Linked DNA regions of Cricetulus griseus. The protein of the gene in region 3 purifies or fractionates together with the protein of the main gene of each other region. This does not show direct contact. Links are inferred from orthologs where the notes say so. Each region holds a gene or a part of one and is shown on either strand. Other genes may lie near its edges.

The links. Proteins that work in one complex are often made in the same cells at the same time.
Region 1: the proteins of Slc22a15 (region 3) and Vapa purify together in Homo sapiens (co-immunoprecipitation; 3 studies listed by BioGRID and IntAct, with this or other methods). This does not show direct contact. The link is inferred for Cricetulus griseus from reciprocal best matches to the Homo sapiens genes SLC22A15 and VAPA.
Region 2: the proteins of Slc22a15 (region 3) and Vapb purify together in Homo sapiens (co-immunoprecipitation; 3 studies listed by BioGRID and IntAct, with this or other methods). This does not show direct contact. The link is inferred for Cricetulus griseus from reciprocal best matches to the Homo sapiens genes SLC22A15 and VAPB.

Annotation. Positions count from the first base shown.
Region 1 is NC_048595.1:454,567,821-454,571,799, forward strand, and holds the start of Vapa (vesicle-associated membrane protein-associated protein A), read right to left. Parts: upstream 2,801-3,979; 5' UTR 2,723-2,800; coding exon 2,644-2,722; intron 1-2,643. UniProt on the Homo sapiens protein: Endoplasmic reticulum (ER)-anchored protein that mediates the formation of contact sites between the ER and endosomes via interaction with FFAT motif-containing proteins such as STARD3 or WDR44.
Region 2 is NC_048599.1:5,261,699-5,265,741, forward strand, and holds the start of Vapb (vesicle-associated membrane protein-associated protein B/C), read right to left. Parts: upstream 2,801-4,043; 5' UTR 2,706-2,800; coding exon 2,648-2,705; intron 1-2,647. UniProt on the Homo sapiens protein: Endoplasmic reticulum (ER)-anchored protein that mediates the formation of contact sites between the ER and endosomes via interaction with FFAT motif-containing proteins such as STARD3 or WDR44.
Region 3 is NW_023276806.1:55,080,031-55,083,530, forward strand, and holds part of Slc22a15 (solute carrier family 22 member 15), read left to right. Parts: intron 1-2,659; coding exon 2,660-2,792; intron 2,793-3,500. UniProt on the Homo sapiens protein: Organic zwitterion/cation transporter with apparent specificity for amino acids and their derivatives. Has low affinity for its substrates and may regulate their flux across the plasma membrane at high substrate concentrations.

The sequences.
Region 1 (3,979 bases), on a different chromosome or scaffold from region 3:
CAAATTTTGTAATACATTAAACTTTAAGGACAAAAAAGCTTTTTCCATGAAACATCTAATTTCAAATCTAAATTACTAGTCAAATTGCTGGTAGGGTCAAAAAAAATGTTTTACGATCTTTTTATGCACAAAAGCACTAAAAGGTATGCTTCAGAATTCATTCTACAACCATAAAAGGTTTTCTACATTTTGCTAGTTAAAATTTTACTAAGATGGAGATACACACAAAAAAATATACCTGCTTTTCCAAAATCGTGAATAGTAATAACTCTTATCAAGTCATTACTCATGTTAAAGGAGAACTGTCAATCTCAGAATGGTTGAATGAGTCACTCCTGAAGGTACCATCACAACATAAATGTTGAATCCAAATAATTCAAATAAACCTACCAAATAATCAAAGAATTTTGCAAAGGAAAAAGCGTAAACAACCTACACTAAATGAAAAAAAAAAATCAGTTAAATAATTTCTGATATAGTCACCAAAGGATGCACACTTGGATCCTAAATCACCCTACTAGTGTAGAGCTGTGCATTTAAAGACAGACGTCTCCATTGTACAGAGTAATCTGTGACTGACAAAGTAACGTTAAGGAGGAAAGCGCCAAACCCCAAATGTCACACTCCTACTTCGCCCTCTCCCTATCGTCTCTGCTTGGCCCACCTTTACAAGGACCTGCACTTTAAGTCTGAAGTCTCCTCTCCTCAGTATTTACCCCTCCCTTTGCATAACTCTCCCCAGCCCCCGGCCGCTTCACAAGAACCTTTTCCCTTAAAAGATTCATTCCTTCGGAGAAAAGCTGCTTTCCTCAAACACCATTTATATCATCTTTTTGGTCTCCCTCACTAGTCTTGGATTGTTATTTTGATAACACAATAGCCTGTTGGAATTATTTAACGTCAGAAAGAAACGAGTGGATAAAGCACAATGCACTATTTCTTCTGGTTTTTAAAACCTGCCTCCTAAAATGCTTTTCACACAGGCTATGCAGTTCAGAAAATTTCCTCGTGAACTGTCAAAGGGGAAAGCAAACTACAGCATCATGAAGATTTACATTAAATCGCTTCAACTAATGATGACTACTTTAGTACAAACACTTGAAGGACTTCTCTGCATACCCCCACCCAACCCCCTTCCAAAAATCAGGCAACAGAAATTTGCTGCAGCAAAATGTACGCAAAGTATCTGAGGTTCTGAGGCACTGTCTAGTGTCTATGTAACCCAGTCTTGTTTCAAACGTTCCATGGTTCCTGGCTGGCCTCCAAAACGCCGGGATTAGAAGCGTGGTTGACCACCCCTAGTTTCAAAGGTATTAATTAGCCCTGCCTTAAAAAATCAAGCTCTTGTCAAATGAGGAATCCTGTAAGTCTCCATTCAGAGAAACCTGTAAATGCACCGAACACCTGCAGTGTAGGAAGTACTGCTAGCAAAACATCAAAATCTTTGTAAGTCCTAAACTATTTAAAATATAATTTAAAAATGGTTCCCACGGGGACAATCCAGCTATTTTCATTCGGACTCAATCTTACACAATCATGGACTCACTGTTTCTTTTAATACTAGAACTGCCATGCAACAACCCAAGGGAAATCGTTCTCATCACAGTTCCTAAAATTAAAACCCCAGGTATTAGCTAAAGAGAGGGAGGAGCAGGTCCTTTTAGCTCCACATCCTATCAGGAAACCTTAAAAATTAGTACGCTGTACGGTTCAAGCTTCTCTCCCCGCTACGTAGCCCACAAACCCACACACACACGGAGACGCCCAGGGCCCTGGATCTGAACCGTCCGTGCTCCACCGTCAGCAGCCCCGGCGCGGCGTGGCACCTTATCAGCTTTCTCGGGGTATGCTGGGAAACCGCAAACGCTCGAGTCGCCGACACCGAGAACGAACCCCTCGGCAAAAAAAAAAAAAAGACGGCGTGCTCCCCCGCCCTCCCCGCACCCCGGGGCTGGGAGCCCGGGTGACACCGGGGACCCGCTACCCGCGACCTAGAGCGCTGCAAACCCCGAGCTGACGCACACGCAGCCTCCCGCCGCGCGCTTGGGGCCCTGCCAGCGCCCGGGGTCAGTCCCAGCCCGACAGCGCTGGGGGCCTGGGGCGCCCCCGAGCCCCGCACCTGACCCGGGAGACCCGGGGCCAGGCCCGCGCCCGCCCCGCCCGGCCCTGCGCGCCTCGCCCGTGGCCACCGACGGCCGCCCGCAGACGCCGAGCGAAGCTGCAGCTCCCGCCGCCGCCCGCAACGCCCGGGGGCAAGGGACGCCGGCGCGGCGGCGGGTGGTGGGCGAGCAAGGCGCGGGCGGGTTCCCCGCGGCGCCCCGCGGGCTGCAAGATGGCGACGGCGCGCGGCGGCGCCGGGCTGAGCCCTCCGCAGCGCCCTGGCTCCCTCCCCTCCCTCCGCAGCCCGAGCGAGCGAGCGGGCGGGCGGCGGCGGAGAGCGAGGCGCCGGCCGAGGACGCAGCGGGGCCGACGCTAGGCGCGGGCGTGGGGGAGGGGAGCGCGGCCCGACCGACCCGGCCTCGCCGCCGCCGCCCCGCCCGCTCGCTCGCTCCCTCGCCCAGACGCTCGCCCGCCCGCCCGCCGACCCCGGCCCCCGCCCGGCCCCGGCCCGGGCCCCGCTCGGGCGCGTCCCAGCCGGCTCACCTTTGAATTTGAGGTCGGAGGGCGGCTCGAGGATCAGGATCTGCTCGTGCTTCGCCATGGCCCCGGAGGCGGACGCCATCGGAGACAGCGCAGAGCGGCGGCGCGCGCGCCCGCGGCGGCGGCGGCGGCGGCGGCGGTTCGCTGGCGGCGGCGGGCGGGGGCGGCGGGCGGCGAGCGGCGGGCGGCGCCGGCGGGGCCCTAGGACGGGGCCAGGCTCACGACGGGACTGCCGAAGCTCCGCGCCTGCTGCCGCCGGGGCCGCGGGTTCCGAGGGCCGCCTGTCGCGCCAGCAGCTCCGGGTGTCACAACCGACTCAACCCCACACCAGCCGCCGCGGCCGCGCGCGCGCACTGCCGGCCTCGGCTCCCCACACGTGACGGGCTGGACGCGCCGACGTGCGCGCCGCCGCGGCCCGGAGCCGCGCGCCGGCCCGCCCTCCGGGCCTGACCGGGACGAGGCGGGGCTAATGCGCCTGCGCGGGCCCGGCCCGGGCTGCGGCTCCCGGCGCCGTGCGGCTGTCAGTCGTGGCGGGGCGGGGCGGGGCGGGGCGGGGCGGGCGGGGCGCCCGGCCGAGAAGCGTCGTTCCCGGTGCCCGGGAGCTGCGAGCGCGGAGTGCCGAGCTGGCGCGCCCACGACGCGGGGGCCTCACGGCGTTCCGAGCGGAATTCCGAACGAGAGGCCGTCAGGAAGGCGCCGCGGCCCTCGGCTCCCGGCATGCTCCGGGCGGCGGGAGGGCGGGGCCTGCGCGCGGGGGCTGCTGGGAGCGGGGAAGGAGGCGGCGGTCCGGTCCGTTGCGGGCGGGCGGGGTCGCTGGCTTCGGGCTGGCCCCGGGGCGTCTCGTCGGCCCTGGGAGAGGAGGAGAAGGGTTCCGCGGGCCCGCGTCCCGGTGGGAAGGCGGCGGGGCCCTCCATCTCGGGCCTCCCGGGGTTCCAAGCCGGCCTCCTCCCTCCCTCGTCTACCCGCAACCGAGCAGAGCCGGACCTAGAAACGCGCACCCCGCCCCAAAGCAAACGGGAGCCCGCGGGCAGGGGCGAGCGGGCGAGCGGGCGGGCCCCCAGCGTGCCGGCCGCCTCCCCTGAGGAGACAGAGCCTGTGCGCGAGGAGAAGCAGGCCAGGCAGCAGAGAGGCTGGCAGGAGGAGCAAACACAACAAATGGATGCGCTGTAAAACATGCACAGATAAATAAACCTTTGCTGCGCCCTGTGGTGCTGCCTGCATTTAAATCTCTAAGGAAGCTCCAGGCGACAAGAAGCACCCTAGACTCCCCAGGACGCCAGGGTTGGAATGGGTCGTCCCCACCCCTGAGGGTACCACAGCTGCTTAAGACTTTTTCAGT
Region 2 (4,043 bases), on a different chromosome or scaffold from region 3:
GTCTCAGGGGGAAAACAAAACAAACAAACAAACAAACAAAAAAACGGCTTCTTCATCTCCAGGGGATGAGGGCTCTGTGCTAACCACGCACGGCTGGCACTCACAAGGCCTGTCAGAACCCCACACATCCCGGGACACCTCTTCTAGAGTGAGGACATTTGTACACCAAACTTCTGGACCATCTCCCTGGCAACCAGTGATGTTGGCTGAAGAGGTGTCACCTACTTAGCACTGCCATCAATTCAAGGGTTAGAGAACAAGGCAGCAGCCCAAGGTCACACACACTTAACACTTAACTGAAAGACACAGAACATGGATGTTTCCTTGGTCCACACACCAGAGGACAGTGATGGGGGAGCTTGGGGCTTCAGGGCTCAATCCAAGGAAGGACCAACAAGTCATCACAGGGTCTTAACAGGGTGAGTGTGCAAGCCTGACTCTTGTGGACGAGGCACCCTGGCCTTCTACTCTGCACCACATCTCCTACCCATGCACCCCGAAAGAGCACACAGCCCAGCTTTTGGACCCCTATGCTCACCACTGGCCATGCCCAAAACAATCCCGCCCACACTGGACCTTTGTGACAGTCCCCATGCTCTGGGCTGCTTTGTCCCACCACTCTCTCCAGTCTGGACCATCTCATCTGCCCCTTCTTACCCTGGATGTAACAGATGGGTGCATGCCAAGGAAGAGCAGGGGAGCACAATCAACTGGGCTTGAATTTTCCTGGGTTCCAACATATGAATGTGGACCAATGTGTCAAGTCACAGGTGAGGCAGAGCTGGGCACCTGGATGAAGAACTCCAGACAACCCCAGAGAAGCCACTGACTTACCACATTCACTTTGGCTATTTGGCTTCCAGTCTCCTCCTCCAAAGAAACCAGAGACCATGACAGAAAGTCAAACAAACATGTCTCTCAATGAAGTTAGATCCTGACATCCCCTAAGTTGAAAACACGCTTAAGTAAAAAACACATTCAATCTATTTCACCTTTCTGAACATCACAGTTGACCTCAACGTGTCCAGACTTCCATTATCCCAGAGGTGCATGGAACCATCTAGCACAAAGCTTGTTTTATCATAATCTGCTAGTCAAATATTTATTGAGTCTGTAATCCCAGCACTTAGGAAGTAGAAGGATCATCTCGAGGCTGAGGTCAACATGAACTACATGAGATCTCATCTAAGAGACTGGGCCAGCAAGATGGCCCAGCAGGCCCAGAAATGACTCTGTTATTCTGACCGCTACACATTCACTGTGGCCCATAGACCCCCAACATAGAATAAATAAATGCAAAATAAGTTAAACAAAAACACATGCTGAAGAGCTTAGAGGCATGCACACACACACATGCCACAGAGATGGGTGGTGCCCTGGTAGATAGGCCAGGATGAAAGATCATAGCTGCTACCAAACGTCATCACCCTCTCACCACCATCCGGTGGAACCCTGATACGTGGGTGACTTCCCAAAACTGGGATCCACATTAAGTGGAAATTTTTATTTAAAAATTTTTGTGCATGTTGTCTGTGCGTTTGTACGTGAGTGTGCTGGGCATGGGGCGGTGAGGGGACAACTTTCACAAGTTGGTTCTCTCCTTTGATTACGTGGGCCTCAGAGCCTGAACTCAAGTAGTCAGTCTCGGTAACAAGCGGGGCTGTGCCTGCTGAGTCATCTCTACAACCCAGCATTAGGCTTCCTGAAGTTGTTTTTGACTTAACTGGACAGCCTTTGCTTCCGTGTGTACCGAAGTCATTACGCATTCTGAACCTGGGAGGCCAGGTGAGCAGCTGCAGCTGAGATGTTTCCCAAGAGTCTGTAGTTACAATGGCTAAGTGTGTGAAACTTCTGAGACCAGAATTCCAATGTCTGTATGTGCCAACTGGGTAAGAGCCGCGATCCCACACTACTTCCCAAAGGCAGAGAAACGGGTGACTCTCAACACCCCAAATTGTGATCACCCGCTGTGGGCTACACGTAGGTGATATTGGGGTGATCACACCAGCCAACCTCAAGTCTACCTCCACAGAGTCTAGCTTCATCCTTTCCTTCCTAGCGCTTACCAAAGCCTGCCATCATCTTGCATACTAGTCTGATGAGCTCTATAGGACTCCAGTGCCCAAAACATGCCACGACGGAAGGATCCAGATGGACATGGTCTTCGTTGCCTCGCGGCCCTTACATTTGGTGAAGGGAGGCATACATACATACATACATACATACCTACATACACACACGCGCACGCACACATAAATACGTGTGTGCGGACGTGTGCGTAGAATGTATGTGAACACAGTGCAACAATGCATAAACTGTGCACACATATTTGTGTAACGTGCACCTTCTAATTCACGTGTGCATGCTTGCATGTATACAGTGCACCTTTGCACACACACAAACGTATACACCAAGTGTGTGGACTCCACAGAAAGTGTGCATGGGACTCCTGGGCTGTAGCTGGCTGCCTCGTGGGGGGAGGGGCTGGCGAGCAGGGGACTCGGGCAGATTCCATGCACTGGCTCCACATGCATGCATTAGGCGCCTGGTGCACGCGGGCCTCAGGCGGACAGCGTCCTGCCCTCAGGGCGCGTCCCTTCCGGCGCCGGGCGCTGAGTGACAGCTCCCGGGCCGGCCGCCCGCTTACCTCGGAACTTGAGCTCGTGCTGTGGCTCGAGGCTCAGGACCTGCTCCACCTTCGCCATGGTCCTCCCCGTCGGGGGCGGCGGCGCGGGCGGGGGCGGCGGCCTGGGCGGCGGGGCGCAGGGGCGGAGGGCGAGGCCGCGGTGCCCGGCGAGCTTACGGCACGCACACACGTAGGCACGCACGCCCCGACGCACGCACGCACGTAGGCACGCACGCAGCAGCGGCCCGGCTCCGGCACTGGCCGGAGGCTCCGGCGGCGAAAGGGAGACTGCGCGTGCGCGGAGTTTTCTGGGCCACTGCGCAGGCACGGCCGGGCCGGCGGGGGCGGAGCTTCCACCGCAGGGGGCGTGGTCTCGCGCTGCTTGGGAGGAAGGGCAGTCTGTGGCTAGACAGTTTAGTTAGCGCCTGCGGGGAGAACTGTTAAGTGCTTTACTTAATAATAATAATTAACAAGAATAAACTTCCACTTTCTTCCCGCACGTGTGGTGCCAAGCTCTGCTGAGCCTGAATATAATAAAGTACTTATTATTGTTACAAACACGATGTTTATGGGTTACTGATATGTGCTAGGCCTCGTGACAGTTCATAAATAACAATTATAAATATAATAAACAGGCAATTATTGTTTGCTTATTTCGTGCCACTCTGCTGAATGCTTTCAGTAACTGTCATAAATAAAAGCTATTCTGCATTCTGTGTTTACCAAACCGCAAAGCACTGCACTGAACCGTTCGCTAATAGATACCATTATTCGTTTATGCAAGAAATATTTAGAAACACAATCACCAGAAAACGACCCGCCTCAGACCTTTACTGGGACCTTGTGGAGAGAATGAATTGGTTACACATAATTCACATGATTAAATAAATCACATGATGGAAAGGATCTGGGAGCCTAGGTCTGTCTAGTACCCAAAATAGGCGTTCTATCCTCTTACTAGCGTGTGACTAATATCTCATTGTGTAACGTATACTATGTGAAATAGATCTTAATAGCCTCCTCATCAGACAGACATATATGAAGTAAACACGGCCAGTTGTTCACCATGGTCGACCACATATGTATGGCAGGGATAATGTCTGTGTCTCTCAGGCATTTCCCACTTTGCGTGTACTTGGACTTGCTTTCATCATAAAGGTTTTTAGGGGTAGTCTCTGTCTTTTAGCTTGTGTATCTAATCCATTTATACTTATTATATTTGCTGGTGTACCTGGATCTATTTTACTAGCTTACATTGTTTCTTCTGTTTGGTTTACTATTTTCTTTTTGTCTCTCATGCCTTGCTTCTTCAGGGTTGTTTTCACCTCAGTCTGGTCTTTCCTTGCATGGTCTGCTGCTATTGCTCCCATGCTTATTTAAATTCTTAACACGCGTACTGATGCCATGAAAGTCTAGC
Region 3 (3,500 bases):
GTCTTACTGTATCTTAGTTGAGTTTGAACCAAGTAAAACCCTCTTGATCACGTGGTAGCTAAGTAATAAGAATTTAAATGATGCTTTAGAGGAGTTGAAAACAAAAAACTGTAAAGGAGAGTCAGGATAGGGTTGTGGAAATCTTTCTGTCAGCTGACTTTGTGAAATACTTGTCACCTGCGCCTTAGCACTCTCAATTCATGGAGCTCTGCTGAGGGAGAGACCCCAGATTCTAGCTAGCTTTCTCCAATTAGCTTTGCAAAAATCTGCTTTTCAAATTTCTGTCTGTTCTTGAATGTAGTCCAGGAGAAATGGGAGGGTGCGTTAGCCTAACCAGCATTGACTTGAAGAAAAATTAGTAGAAATTACTTTGACACTTGGAACTGGCAGCCTGAGAATCAGGATTTGGAATTTGCTGTTTATCCATCCCTTGGGCCATTTCTTCCTAAAATCATTGTCCAAGTTGACAGCTATTCAGTTGCTGAGGGATGGCACTGTAGCCTTTTTAGTGGATATGAGAAATTTGGTAAATACAGTCAACAGTCTAGTCATTTCCTTCTGACCTAGCTCGCTGTCCACCTGAGTATCTTGACCATATATACAGACTGGAATTCCTAAAGCACAGAGAAATCAATGCTAAAGTCACAAGGCAGCCTTTAAGAGCATGTAAGCATGAGCATTAAGAACATGATAAATATAACAAGTGTTTGAATTAAGACGTTAATTGTAGTTAAGAACAATTCCATTTGTTCCTGTTTCGTCTATCACAGGAGCAGGACTGTCCCTGTGATGGATGCTGAGCTGGCTCCTCTAGGACAACAGGGCACCTGACATCTCACTTTTCCATTTCAGAATATGTCACCATAGTCATTCCTCCCGAATTGAACATTATTCTACAGGACTAACAGTGTATCCAAAACGAATTAGCTTTTCAAAAAACAAAATTCTTTTTCAAATGCCAGAGGTCTCTTCATCTCTCTTCTATGAAATTCTAACCCATATTATAACCCTGTCTGTCATGATCTGACTTGTCAAGACCATCATCAATCCAGGCTTATAGAAGATACAAAGTAAGGAGAGAGTTTGGATGTGCTTCTGGGGCCCCAGTTAGTTAAAGCATGGTGAAAGGGTACACACACACACACACACACACACACACACACACACACACACACACACACACACACACACACACCAAACAGGGGCAGGCAACCCAGAAAAGTGCCGCCTTGAGAGTTCTCAGAGAAGGGCTCTTGGGTGGATCTGCAAGGGGGCTGGGAAGAGGAAAGATGTGTCTTTGTGTCCTCTGAGGTTATACCTCTGTGACATGCTTTACTGCTCCTCACTGATAACTATCACTAGATAGGCTGTCAGAAGATGATGCTGAACAGAATGAGATTGCCTTCTGTTTACATTCATAATTGTCCATAGCACTCTAGGAAGTTTTTCTCATGCTAAATTTGCATGGCACGAAGGATACCTACCACCTTGGTGTACAGTGTATAATTCTGGGGAATTCATATATTTATATTCTGCAATCATCACCGCTGTCTGTCTCCAGAATGTTTTCATCATTCTACATGGAAAGTGTGTTCTCATGAGACATTGACTCCCTGTCCCACATCCCTTCATCCCTGTAACCACTATTCTTTCTGTCTCTGTGAAGCTAACTCTTGCAGGTACCTAATATTACGAGAGTTGTGCAGCATTTGTTCCTTCTTGCCTGGCTTGTTTCTATAATGTCTAAAGTTCATCAGGGCTGTCGCATGAATCAGACTGCATTAGCTCTAAAGTAATATTGAGTAATATTCCATTGTACATGCATATGGCATTCTACTTCTCTATTGATCTGTTGATTGACACAGGTGACTCTGTCTTCGATTATTGGGAATATGATGTGTTAACCTGGGTGTTGACAGAGAACCTGAATTTGGAATTTGCTGCTCATGCATATACACCCAGAAGAGAAATTGGAGGATCATATGATGTTCAGTTTTAATTTTGTATTATTTTATGTGCCTGAGTTTTTTTTTTCCTGCATGTATGTCTATGCAGTGCCCTCAGAAGCTAAAGACAGCTTTGGATCCCCTGGAACTGGAGCCACCATGGGCTTGCTGGGACTCAAACTCCCATCCTCTGGAAGAGTAACCAAGTGCTCTTACCCCCTGAGTCCTCTCTCCACCTCCCTTCCATTTTATTTTTTTGAGGAATGTGCTCAAGGAATTTTAAATATACTAATATGTTAACCAAAAGATTTATTCATTGATTACTTCATAGGTGTCATGTGATGTGTAGGCATCCGAAAAATGGAAATAGAACAAGGCTTCTCCTCTCCAGAAACTGCCAAGGACTCAGGACAAGGCCATAGTCAGCAATTGTATATGTGATTAGCACTTGCATGCTGTGTGCAGTTCTGCTGGGAGTATATGAAGAATACCCTGCAAGTATACCATAGCAGCAATGGTTCCCAGTGTTTCTGAAGCTGTCTCCTTGGATGTTGTCTGTGATGAATATTCCAGCAGATTCTGGCTAACGGACATTGATACCAGTGTCCAATCTGTGTTATAAACTAGGCTTTGTTAGTGCAGTGTATATATTGCTCTCTGTGACCTAAATTGTCCCCCTCATGAATTTTTTGTTTTGTTTTGTTTTCTTATAGTGGTTTTTAATTGCCAACCGATCTTACAAAGTCAGTGCGGCCAGCTCCTTTTTCTTCAGTGGTGTGTTTGTTGGCGTTATCTCCTTTGGTCAGCTTTCAGATCGCTTCGGGAGGAAAAAAGTCTACCTCACAGGTACTTTGTCACCATGTTCTTACACTGAATAAGAGGCTTTATGTCCCTAAGAGTCTTAAGGAAATAATAAGGGGTTATTTTCTTTCTTTTTTTTAAATGGAGTGTGCTGGATGTCTCTACAATTTTGTTCAAATGACTGCAGAACCTGGGGGTTATTTTCTTAAAGTTCTCTGAGTCCACAGGTAGACAGAGCTTCTGTTTATTACACTGGCAAGAGGCCACACTGCAGCTAGCCGAGACTCTGGCCGAGTGGTTTTCGGGAACGAGTTCACCCTGCTAAGGCCAGCTATTTCTGCTAAAAACATTTTTTTTTTCTGACAGTGCTTTCTACAACCCCCAAATTGTAATCACTGCCCTGCTTCTAGACAGAGCAGTAGAAGATTGCTACAGCCTTCCCATCCTTTCTCTGTGTCTCTCTGTGTTGATTTATTTCAAATGAACTCTATAGGACTTGGCGTAGCTGTCTTGACAGGCTGAGTATGAGTGAGGATTTTCAATTTCTAGCATTATTATGAATAACTGAAAATGGTGTGTGATTGACAGAAATTGTAAAACAAAGAAAGCAAGCCTTGGGTCTTTTTTTTCTTTTTGTGGTTTTCAGGGCAAATTATTAGAAAAAAATGCAAGCCATAGCTCAGGACATTTAAGTTTACAAAGGTTTATTTCACAAACTGATGAATATAATTTATTATTTTCTTCAAATGCTGC